Drosophila melanogaster: one gene and its partner. The protein of the gene in region 1 interacts with the protein of each later gene in a pairwise test. Each region holds a gene or a part of one and is shown on either strand. Other genes may lie near its edges.

Region 1 (5,502 bases):
AACACTTTCACCCTTTTTGTTTTAGCTCTTAACATATAATTTTTCTAGCGTTTAATGGGGCGTATGTGTGCTAAGAATTGTTGCAACCATTTTAAATCCCCGGAAACCATGGCCACTCACCTCAAAAACCCTTTTCATTCTGTTTTCCTAGTTTTTTTTTTTGCGAGGGCGCAAATATTTAGTGCAAAACTTTCTGTTTGTCTTTGCCGGTTGGGGGGTGCAACAAAAAATTGTTGGCCAAAGTTTAATGAGCCACATGACCCTTTTCGCCTGCGACTTCGTCTTTGTATCCCTTCCCTTTATCTATGAACTTTGCACTGGATATTTCAGCAGCTTGACCAAAGTGTGGTTGCTTTTGCTGCCGTTATTGTTATGGCGGCTAAAAAGTTTACCCAACACCCAAATACAACGCATAAAAAAGGCATTAACGATGTGGGCCGGAGCAAACTATTTAGCCATAAAGTTGGTCGTTCCGGCGGACAATTTCGTATGCATATTTTATGGATTTTCAAATGCTGCAAAATTGTTTTTCACGACTAGAATTTAATGTTGACAACAATAAAATTTATGCGCGGGACGAGGGACACAAAATGAATATATAAACTTGAGCGTTTGTTGAAGGGGGTGGGGCTGGATCGTCCTTGAATATTTTCTGCTTAGCTGCATTTGCATATTGTCCGGATTGGAGTCCAATTCCGTGTCCGAATCCCCAGCTATCCGGGGTATTTGCAATACTTTTTCAATCGCCCGACATGCTTTGTTGATTTCTTTATTGGCTCATCCATATGCATGCCGTTGTTGGACAGGATTCTGGACATTGGATTTGCGACTCAAGTGTTTATCGTTATTGATTGCAGTCCGTGAAATATGACGATAGCCGGCAGCATCCAATTTGTCTCGCCCGCCAGAATGCCAATACTCATGCCCGGTACAATGTGAATTGAAAACCGCACCCAAAATTGCAATTCACATGAAAATCTGCTGCTTAAGTTCCATGCAATGTTGGAAAATAGCCCTAAAGTTCAGAGATGTTCTTTAGGATTGCTTCCCAAATCCGAATAGAACTGCAAGTCACTTTTTTACACTACCAAACCTTTCGGTGACCCGCTCAGACCACATACTTGTGGGTTGGGATTTGCTCCTTAACAGGATAATAAGGAATACCTCAATGCATATGACTAAAACATACTAAAATGGTTTTTAGCGTTAGAATTCGAAACACCCGACCACTACTCACCTGAATTACGAAGGAGATCACATGGATGATGGGCGACGCGGGCTTTATGGAGCGCGTGGAGCAGCCTGATCGGTACAGGTCCTCATCCCTTTCACTGCCATTCTTGTAACAGGATTTTGGGATATTCAGATCGCCCAACTTGTAGTCGTCAGGTCCCAAAACTCCGCAGCACTGGCACTTTTAATAAACGAAGTGGGTAACTTTACTACTTAATATAATATTATTGCGAAACTCTTACGCGACTTTCGTAGAATTCCAAACTCTTGCGATTCATCCATATTCGAAGTACATCTCCAACAATTTGGTACTGTTGTGCAAACAGTATAGTCAGCATCATCTGCAACCATGTTGCCAGGAAGAGTACTGTGGCATACTGTAAAATTTAAATACAATCTTGGCAATCGCTGTGTTTTTAAAAATAATGTTTACAAACAATTACAATGCGTATTTCGCGGCATAAATGCGAATATATGAAGAAAAAACCGACTATCAGCAGCGGCGCCATTAGGGCATTTACGGTTAGAGCGATTATCATGTAGGACCTGAACAAACAATCCCAGCAAGGCATGTGTTCCTTCAGTATGAAATAGTATATGTAAATATCCGCACAGCTGAAAATCTGTGGGTGGGAACACCTTTGTAGTGGTTTTTTCTTCGCTTCCATGATATTACCTACGAAATTGACCAACCACACAAAGTAGATTATGAACTTGCAAATCTGTAGCTTTCCAACGCTGAGTAATCTTTGAAGGCATCCCGTTTCCTCATTATCCACCATATTTTATCCGAAAAATACGAATATATATATTTTTGACCTAAAATGACACTGCTTTCGATGGTATAACTGCTTTAAAAAAAAAAAACAGAATTTTTTCGGTTGACAATTAGCGATACTATGTTTTTCAATACCAATACGATGTCCATTATAATTTGCAAATTCAGCTAGCTTTTGGTATTAACTCCAATTGCTTACAAAAGACAAGATGTTAAGTTCTAAAATCCCAAGTTGACAGATACTTACAATTCATTAATGAAGTTTCCAGTGAGTTTCCGTTTTTGCTCTAATGCAGTTGGTTATTCGACATAGTTAATATCTTAACATTAATCACTGAAAATCACAATGACGGATCTAATGAGGAGGTAATACGATATTTTGCGTTTATGCCAGATAGTATTCATAGTATTCATAGTATTCATTTCAATACCAGTCTAATTGTCTTCGTTGGCAAGGTCATGTAGCCGAAGCCAGTATATTATTATAACGGCCATACATAAGAACTATTCAGTTGTCGGAAAAACTTGGTTAATACATAGTTATATAATTTGAATGTCTGTATAACCTTACCGTAAGGAGCCAGCATATCATAAATATGGGATGGGCTGTCGTCTTGTCAGGATTCAATTCAGTACTTAGACACACGAACAGAATTATCAGTTTCACCACGACGATGGCTACATAAACAAAGATCATCTGAAAATTACATCAAAAATTTAACTCAATGATTTTTAAAACCTCATGCTAACGAACCACTTTCAGAATTCGAATTTTATTACAGATCGCCGCATATATTAAAAGAACCAGAGTCGCCAGTATAACTACGGACAGGGATAGGCTTATAATAAGCATAATATAATGGTATCCCTTTAATAAATTCAATATAGAAACATCTTTGGCTATTTGAGCACCATTAATTCCCTGCCAATTGAATATTGAATTGGTTAATCAATCAAATGAGCATCCAACTTACTGCGGTTATAGGTATTACTAACAAAAGTACAATTTTGAGACCAAGTGTCGGACAAAAGCACATTCTGTCAAGATAGAATTTGAAAATATTTCGTTCGAAGAACTAAAACAAATGTGTGGAAAAAAGTTTAGAATTTTCTGAAAAGTTTACAAGTTTTACAAATCCTTACCACAATCAATACTCTTTATAAGAATTAGTCAGCTTGTCTTGAATTCTCTGTTAGCCGTATATAAAAGAATAGATTAAAGAGCATACAGCAACACTATTTTGAATTAATTAAGATTATTTTATCACCAATCCAATTAAATGAAATACGCACCGTGAATTTCCAGCATAGAAAGAACCAAAAATGTGCGGCAGTATTTTCAATACCTGTTTCTGCGGTTAATACGCAAACGATTACGATAATACCCTTTGCTACACACTTAAAAATCAAGAAAACAAGCGTCTGAAAAAGTTGTACAATATTTTGAATACAATAATTATTTTTGAATAATTCAAAGCTACGCACCACGTTTAAAGCCAATATATGATGACGAATAGCAGCAAAAATGGCAACTAAGAGAACAACTAGTATGATAACACATAGTGCTAGACTTATAGTAAGCATAACATGATGGTGACCCACCAGTTTATCCAGCAAAGTAATGTCCTTCGCTATTTGCGCGCCATTAAATCCCTTAAAAAAATGCGTCAACAGTAATTTGACATGAACGGGTGTCTATTCAACTCACTGCGGCAAGATGTATGAATGCCAAAAGAACGATTTTGAGTACACGAGTTGAGCAAATGCACATTATAGCTCAGATGAAAATAAAAAATTTAACATTTAGATTTTTGCAAATGGTAATCCAATTGACATTGTTCTCAAGTGTTAAATAAACAAATAAATTGGGTTATTTTCATAAATTTATACTTCTTTGCTTCATTCAACGTTCGAAGAGCTTGAAAAAGGACTTTAAGAAATCTGTGGAATTTGCATAGATTTATTCAGCATCGCAGCTTTTGACCGCGTTTGGTAATGGAAAACGGCTTGGGGGCGTGGAAAACTAGAACTAAAACCCGTACACATCCCTGCATGTTGAGCTGCTGTGGAATTTTTTAATCAAACAGTTGCCATTAATTACTGCAAAATTCTCTAGCCACATGACAGACATTTTTTCGACAGCCAGCCGCGCTGGAATGAATGAAAGAAAACAGGATGCGCTGCCGAGTCCTTCTTCGTGTGGGCGCCTGTATTTGTGAGCTAGAATCTGCGAGATGGCTTCAAATGCCATATGGGTGGGGCAGCTGCTGCTGCTGGGTATGGAATGCCAAGCGAACCGACCGCAGACTCGCCACCAAAAGGAGCAGCAACTAAAAATCAAATTAGGTGCAAACGAGCGCCTGTCGGCGGCAGGCGTTCATTTACTTGGCTCAAAAAAAAAAAAAAATGTGGGCGTGTCGCGGTTGCGTTTTCGTAATGAATAATTTATAATGCAAACGGGCGATGGATTTTATTTTCTTGTAAGCTCTTAGTTGAGATTAAAATTTTGCGGTTTGCCGAAAACCGGTGGAGTTAAAGTTCATGCTCCGCATGATTCGCCTGAATCGGCTGATAAATGTGCGTGGGCTGGTGTCATGTGCACGCTCGTGAATTCAATTTGATACACAAACTGATTTATCGACTCCAAAGCAGTGGCAGTAGCAGGAAATTCAAGGCACTTAAAAAATATACATGTAGTTCAAGTGTACTGCAATGTTTGTTCTCAGGTTAGGGGTACCTAAACAGTTTTTTGAATGAATCTTTAAAGTATCCTTCACATTACTAAATCATACTAAAATCATATAAATCTAATTGTATCATTTCTAGCGATACAAAAATAAGTTATTTTTTGTTGAACTATATATTATTATTTTTAAGCCCATACAATTTCTTCCAGTGCTTTGTCTCGACTCAACTTGGCACACGCCATTCATAAGTCAGTCGTCGTCAGTGGGAGAGTGGAGTCGAAAGTCGCAGACGATAAAAAATTACATACACTTGTAACTGGTGTCCTCGGGCCGGAGTCCTTGCCGTTACCACTGCTCCGGAGTTATGTCCTGGCCCCGCCTTTGCCTGTGCTGCAGCCTCTAACAAGGTTAATTTGTTGCGATCGCAGTTCTGTGTCATTTATCTTCGCTGTCAGCGGCAACTTCTCGCATAGAGCGCAGCTCCTGGCATCGTTCTAATTTGAATTTAACAAGCTCACTGGAGGAAAGGATGTGGACAGGGGTCCATCAGAGCATCAGTCTCTAGGGGAGCATTGAAAATTAAAAATTTATTGCCGGGCGTGGTGTCAATCATCGCTGGCATCATTCTCAGTTCAGCTGAGAACGTAATAAAGTATTGGAATAAAAATCACTGGGGATTTGTGCTACTCTATCAAAAGTGAAAATTCATATTTTTAATATAATTTTATGTTAACATTCTTCCAAAAATAGGTTAAGACAAGAGTACTTATAAATATTAAATGCATAAATAATATTTTGAGGCCC
Region 2 (4,688 bases), on another chromosome or scaffold:
GAACACTGCGTACAATAGGAAATGATCGTACATAAGTACATACATACATATGTATGTTGCAACCTTCTTTTCACATTTAATTCAAGTATTTGCTCAAGTATGGGCACACTGCGGGCATATGTGTTTAGTCCTGTGGGAGCACTAGAGTATAGCATATAACCCTAATACCTTGACTTATTCATATGCACATTACATTATTTACATATTTTTTCGACCTGCTCAGAAATAACTCGTTCATTTCACACTATGTACTTATGTACATGTACATGCATGGCTATGTACGATCAGCTCGAGAACAAAAGTTTTCACTTACGCCTATTCTCGGAATTCTGGTTATATACAAACGGCACAGCACTTCATGGAGTAATGTAAATTAACTATTAAAAAAGTATACTCGAAGTTGCACACGTTTGCCACTTAACCGGCGTGGACAAAGCATTTATGTGAACCAGATAGTTACACCTTATGGCAGAAAAAAACTAGTTCAGCATGCCGTCATCGGAGTTATATCTCTTGCTCACTGCGATCAGTAAAACATATCGATCTTCATCGGTTATTAGTATAGTACTATCCTTTGCAATGAAAGGCAAGCGAAATACGTTGAAAAGGGGAACCTCCTCATTGCGTTTCCAACTTGTTGCTTGTGAAATATGTTTCACTTAGGGTTGTTATTAGAACATTAAAAACTTATAATCCATCAATGGGTTTGATGGACTATAAAAGGGTCTTACCCTTATAATAAAAACAAAGTTCTTCTAATTGCACTACTTTTTTTCTTAAATAAGCTTTTTGTTATACGATCTTACGAACTTACTCTTGATGTGAATTTCACATCACTCAAGTGTTCCAATTACTCCAGCAAAATCAAAAATACTAAAATATGCTAGGGCGTTGCCACCCTGCATTCATGTAAGGATGGTACTGACAGTCGATCTTTCGGCATGTCATACATTTAACGATCGTGGTCCACGACAAAATGGTCAGTAATGCAAAACTCACTGGCATCACCCTACTAGGTTGAATCGTGATCAAAACACCCTTATTAAATTCCGTTTAAATGGCCGGAACCTGTTGATTAAATGGCAGGTTGTTCGAAAGAGTCGTAAATAAATGAATGCTGCACTTAAAGATCCTGTACCGCTTACAAAAAGCATTGAACTGCTGTTATTTTCTTTAGGGTTGTACTTAAACAGTTTTAGATGACAAACAGTAAGACATGTAAGAAACCTAAAATAATTTCACTAAAAAAATTCTAAAAGCAATTGTAAAAAAAAGATATAATCTTTGCTGCTTTGTTTAATAATTAATAAGATATTGATAAAAGGGTAAAAAGCTTTCGCGACTTAGGAATGCCAGGTTAATGATAAACAAAAGTAACCTGTGGATCCCTTCCGAGAAATGATGTACCGATATATGTACACATCGAGATTAAAATGGACTTCCATGTCCATTGTCCTAATTTCGGTGCTGCAGTTTTTTGTTGTTTTTTAGGAAAAACTGCAGCGTGGAGAATGCTTTCAATGATACAATCCTTAATTGGGTTCGCATTTTGCTAACTTAGTTGTTGCAAATTAATTTACCCTCACTCTCGGCACACAGACAAAAGCTCGCTTCCCAGAAAAAGCTTAAGGATTCAGAGAAAACTTTGAAACAGCACACGAGAGTTGAGTGGAACACTCGCGTCCGCCGACTTCGCTTTCCGTCAGAGGGATGCTGTAATCCCCTGAAATTTTATATTCGTTATATTCCCGAAGAAGACAAGAGACGTGCTGTACGAAAATAATTTTTCATTCACGTAAATTACCCACACAAATGTGTGTGGAACAATTAGCTGATTCAATTGTTCTCGCCCGCCACTTGCTAATTGGAATCGAAAAGTGTCAAAGTTTCAGGAGGTTCTTTTTGTTTAATAATACTGTGTTTAATATGCATATGTTCGCGTGTGTGGTGCTCATGACATACATACATAAATGCCAACAAAGTCCCAAATATCGCATTCATTTGCGAGGGGACTTCGCAGGACGTTATAAACACCTTTATACCACATTCTGGAAATGCCAAACGCAGTGCCAAGCCCACGCAACTTTATAATAGGATATACATTGAATGAAGTAGTGCCATGAATGCCGTGCCGCATGATATTTGATCCATTCACGGAGTCGGTCCTGGACCTACAAAGTCACAATAAACCTTCTGTTTAGTGAGACAGCGTAATGTGAAAAATGTTGAGGACGTACAAGCCAGGCATTTAAATTTATTAACTTACAATAAACATTTATGTAAATCATAAAAAACCCAGTGACACAATAAGTAAATAACAAAGACCAGAAGTAACCAAGTGCTTACAAATAAGATGAATAGAGTAAAATCTATTGAGTGACACCTACGCAAAGAACGAGTGTGCTTAAGTGTAACATATACACAACATATACATCAGGTGGGCGGGTTTTGCGCATAGTAACCCCCCTCCCCCAAGCCCAAAACTTTGCATTAACTTTATATTGTCCAAAACCTAGAGACAAAAAATCATTGAGTGAATTTCATTATTTTAAAAGTTACGCCCCGCCCCCCCTCAAAAAAAGAAATATATATATAAAACTCTAGATCCGCCTTGGTAGCAAAATATGTTATACGCAAGCGCTCAATACGAAAACCTCCTTCTCTCTACCTTCCTCTCTTTCTCTTAACAGAATCGGAACAGCAGTTAGCAGAAAGCAACAGCACAGCAGCAGCAGCAGCAGCAGCAGCATCCGCTTAGCAGAGCAGCAAATGCTTCGGAAGCAAAAGCAGTAAAGCTCGCAGCGCTACTACGTTACGTGCCTATGAGTGGGCGAGTTTGTGTACATGTCTGGACATGTATTTGACAGCCTTTCCCTTTTGGCCATTGGTATGCTTCGTGTGGCTCTGTAAGTATTGTCCTCGCAACACAGTTTGTCCTGGGGGGAGATGAAGGGTATCTCTCTGTTAACGCCCACGATGCGCTCAGACCAACAGCACTTTTTGCTCAATGAAAACTTGCACACGAAAACTAGCCAATTGAGAAAATTCCCTGCTCAAGAGGGCTTAATTGTAATACGAATTTCCAGGAACATGCAATCTATAATATGTATGTGCAAGGCATCAAAGAACATGCATCGAATTGAATGAAACTTTTTTATTTAAGGATATTGCTTGCATACAAAACGTGTCCATGACTATGTACATATGTATGTATGTACATATGTATGCATGTTTTTGTAAAGCTGTTTTTGAACTATTGGAAAACCTTTTAACTCAAGACATGACCTTTGTATGTATCAAATCAGAAGCATTGCATTCAATGCTCCTTTCCTATGAAAAGTGTTGTATTTTCCAAGAACATTGCAGTGGCGTGGGAACAATAGCAAAACGTGCCTTTTGCTATCTGCTTTGAATGAGAAATAGGGGGGTTTTCCTTTAACTACTTGTAGTTAACATTCAATTCAACTTAACACGACTGAACTTGTATGATAAGGCAAAAGCCTTTGCTGCATTTTGAGCTAATTAGAAGTTAAATGGTATCGATTTAAATCCTTTGACTAGGTCTCGGTCTCGGCGACTTGACAAAAACTGCTGTGAAACGTAACGCGCCCCACTATGGAATTCACCCGACAAACGCACTGGGTCGTTGGGATTGGAATAAGCACAAGCAGCTGCACTCGGATGCCAGAATCGGACATTTAGAGGCGGGCAACGAGTCGCGGGAGGATCAGCTGTCGGAGGAGCTGAGCAAGTTCGGCGAGAAACTCTTTCCCGTCTCCAACTATCCGCCGTATCAGCAGAATAACGAGGATAGCCAGGAGGTGCATCATAGTGGAGAGGGAAGATTGCATACGATGGAATCGTCTGTGCCATCCAAGACTAGAATATCCGGTGGCACAAATTCAAACGATACTCCCAAGTTCCGGAACATTGGCGCCCAGAGGGGTAGAACCGAAATAGCCGGCATTCGCGAAACTGATCGAATCAGTTCACGTGGTCGAGATGGTTTTATAGGTGGTCCGAGTAACAAACAGAAGCCATTTAGAGTCAATCTGGCCGTTCTGGTGCAGGACGATCCCAGTCAACCGGGTGAGACATACTCCAATTGCCAGAACTCCAATGAATCCGACGAGAACTGCAATCCCGAGGAGGATGCAGTGCCGAATTTGCAAAGGGATTGCGAGAAGACCGGGATACATGTGATGTGCCCGCGAACCTTTCGATGCATTAGCAAGTATTGGCTCTGCGATGGAGATGATGACTGCGGTGACTACTCGGATGAGACGCACTGCGGAGCCAGGACGAATTGTACAGATGATCAGTTCGAGTGTCTCAACGGATTCTGTATTCCACGAACCTGGGTATGCGATGGCGAGAACGATTGCAAGGACTTCTCCGACGAGACCCACTGCAATCGCACCACCTGCACGGATGAGCACTTCACCTGCAACGATGGCTATTGCATCTCCCTGGCCTTTCGTTGCGATGGTGAGCACGATTGCAATGACAACTCGGATGAGCTCAAGTGCGCGGCGGTCATAAACAGCTGTCCGGAGGGCGAGTTCAAGTGCCGCGGCGGTTTGGGTGGAGCAGGTGGTCCCAGTGGCCAGTGCATTCTCAATCGTTTCCGCTGCGATGGCGACAACGACTGCGGCGACTGGAGTGACGAGGAGAATTGCCCCCAGAAG

What was found. Proteins that work in one complex are often made in the same cells at the same time.
Region 2: the proteins of CG42661 (region 1) and Lrp4 interact in a two-hybrid assay, tested with the Drosophila melanogaster proteins (one large-scale study listed by BioGRID).

What each region holds. Positions count from the first base shown.
Region 1 is NT_037436.4:7,463,832-7,469,333, reverse strand, and holds CG42661 (uncharacterized protein), read right to left. Parts: upstream 3,826-5,502; 5' UTR 3,783-3,825; coding exon of another isoform or gene 3,720-3,782; intron 3,665-3,719; coding exon of another isoform or gene 3,497-3,664; intron 3,434-3,496; coding exon of another isoform or gene 3,305-3,433; intron 3,248-3,304; coding exon of another isoform or gene 3,179-3,247; 5' UTR 3,155-3,178; intron 3,088-3,154; 5' UTR 3,049-3,087; coding exon 2,986-3,048; intron 2,934-2,985; coding exon 2,766-2,933; intron 2,709-2,765; coding exon 2,583-2,708; intron 2,516-2,582; coding exon 2,447-2,515; 3' UTR 2,259-2,446; intron 2,206-2,258; 3' UTR 2,147-2,205; intron 2,082-2,146; 3' UTR 2,016-2,081; coding exon of another isoform or gene 1,914-2,015; intron 1,857-1,913; coding exon of another isoform or gene 1,671-1,856; 3' UTR 1,611-1,670; coding exon of another isoform or gene 1,476-1,610; intron 1,415-1,475; coding exon of another isoform or gene 1,238-1,414; intron 1,189-1,237; coding exon of another isoform or gene 1,072-1,188; 3' UTR 526-1,071; downstream 1-525. Other genes in the region: Tsp66A (tetraspanin 66A), read right to left, coding at 1,072-1,188, 1,238-1,414, 1,476-1,610, 1,671-1,856, 1,914-2,015; CG42660 (uncharacterized protein), read right to left, coding at 3,179-3,247, 3,305-3,433, 3,497-3,664, 3,720-3,782.
Region 2 is NC_004354.4:15,909,218-15,913,905, forward strand, and holds the start of Lrp4 (LDL receptor related protein 4), read left to right. Parts: upstream 1-1,652; 5' UTR 1,653-1,771; intron 1,772-2,149; exon of another isoform or gene 2,150-2,437; intron 2,438-2,690; 5' UTR 2,691-2,854; coding exon 2,855-2,906; intron 2,907-3,561; coding exon 3,562-4,688.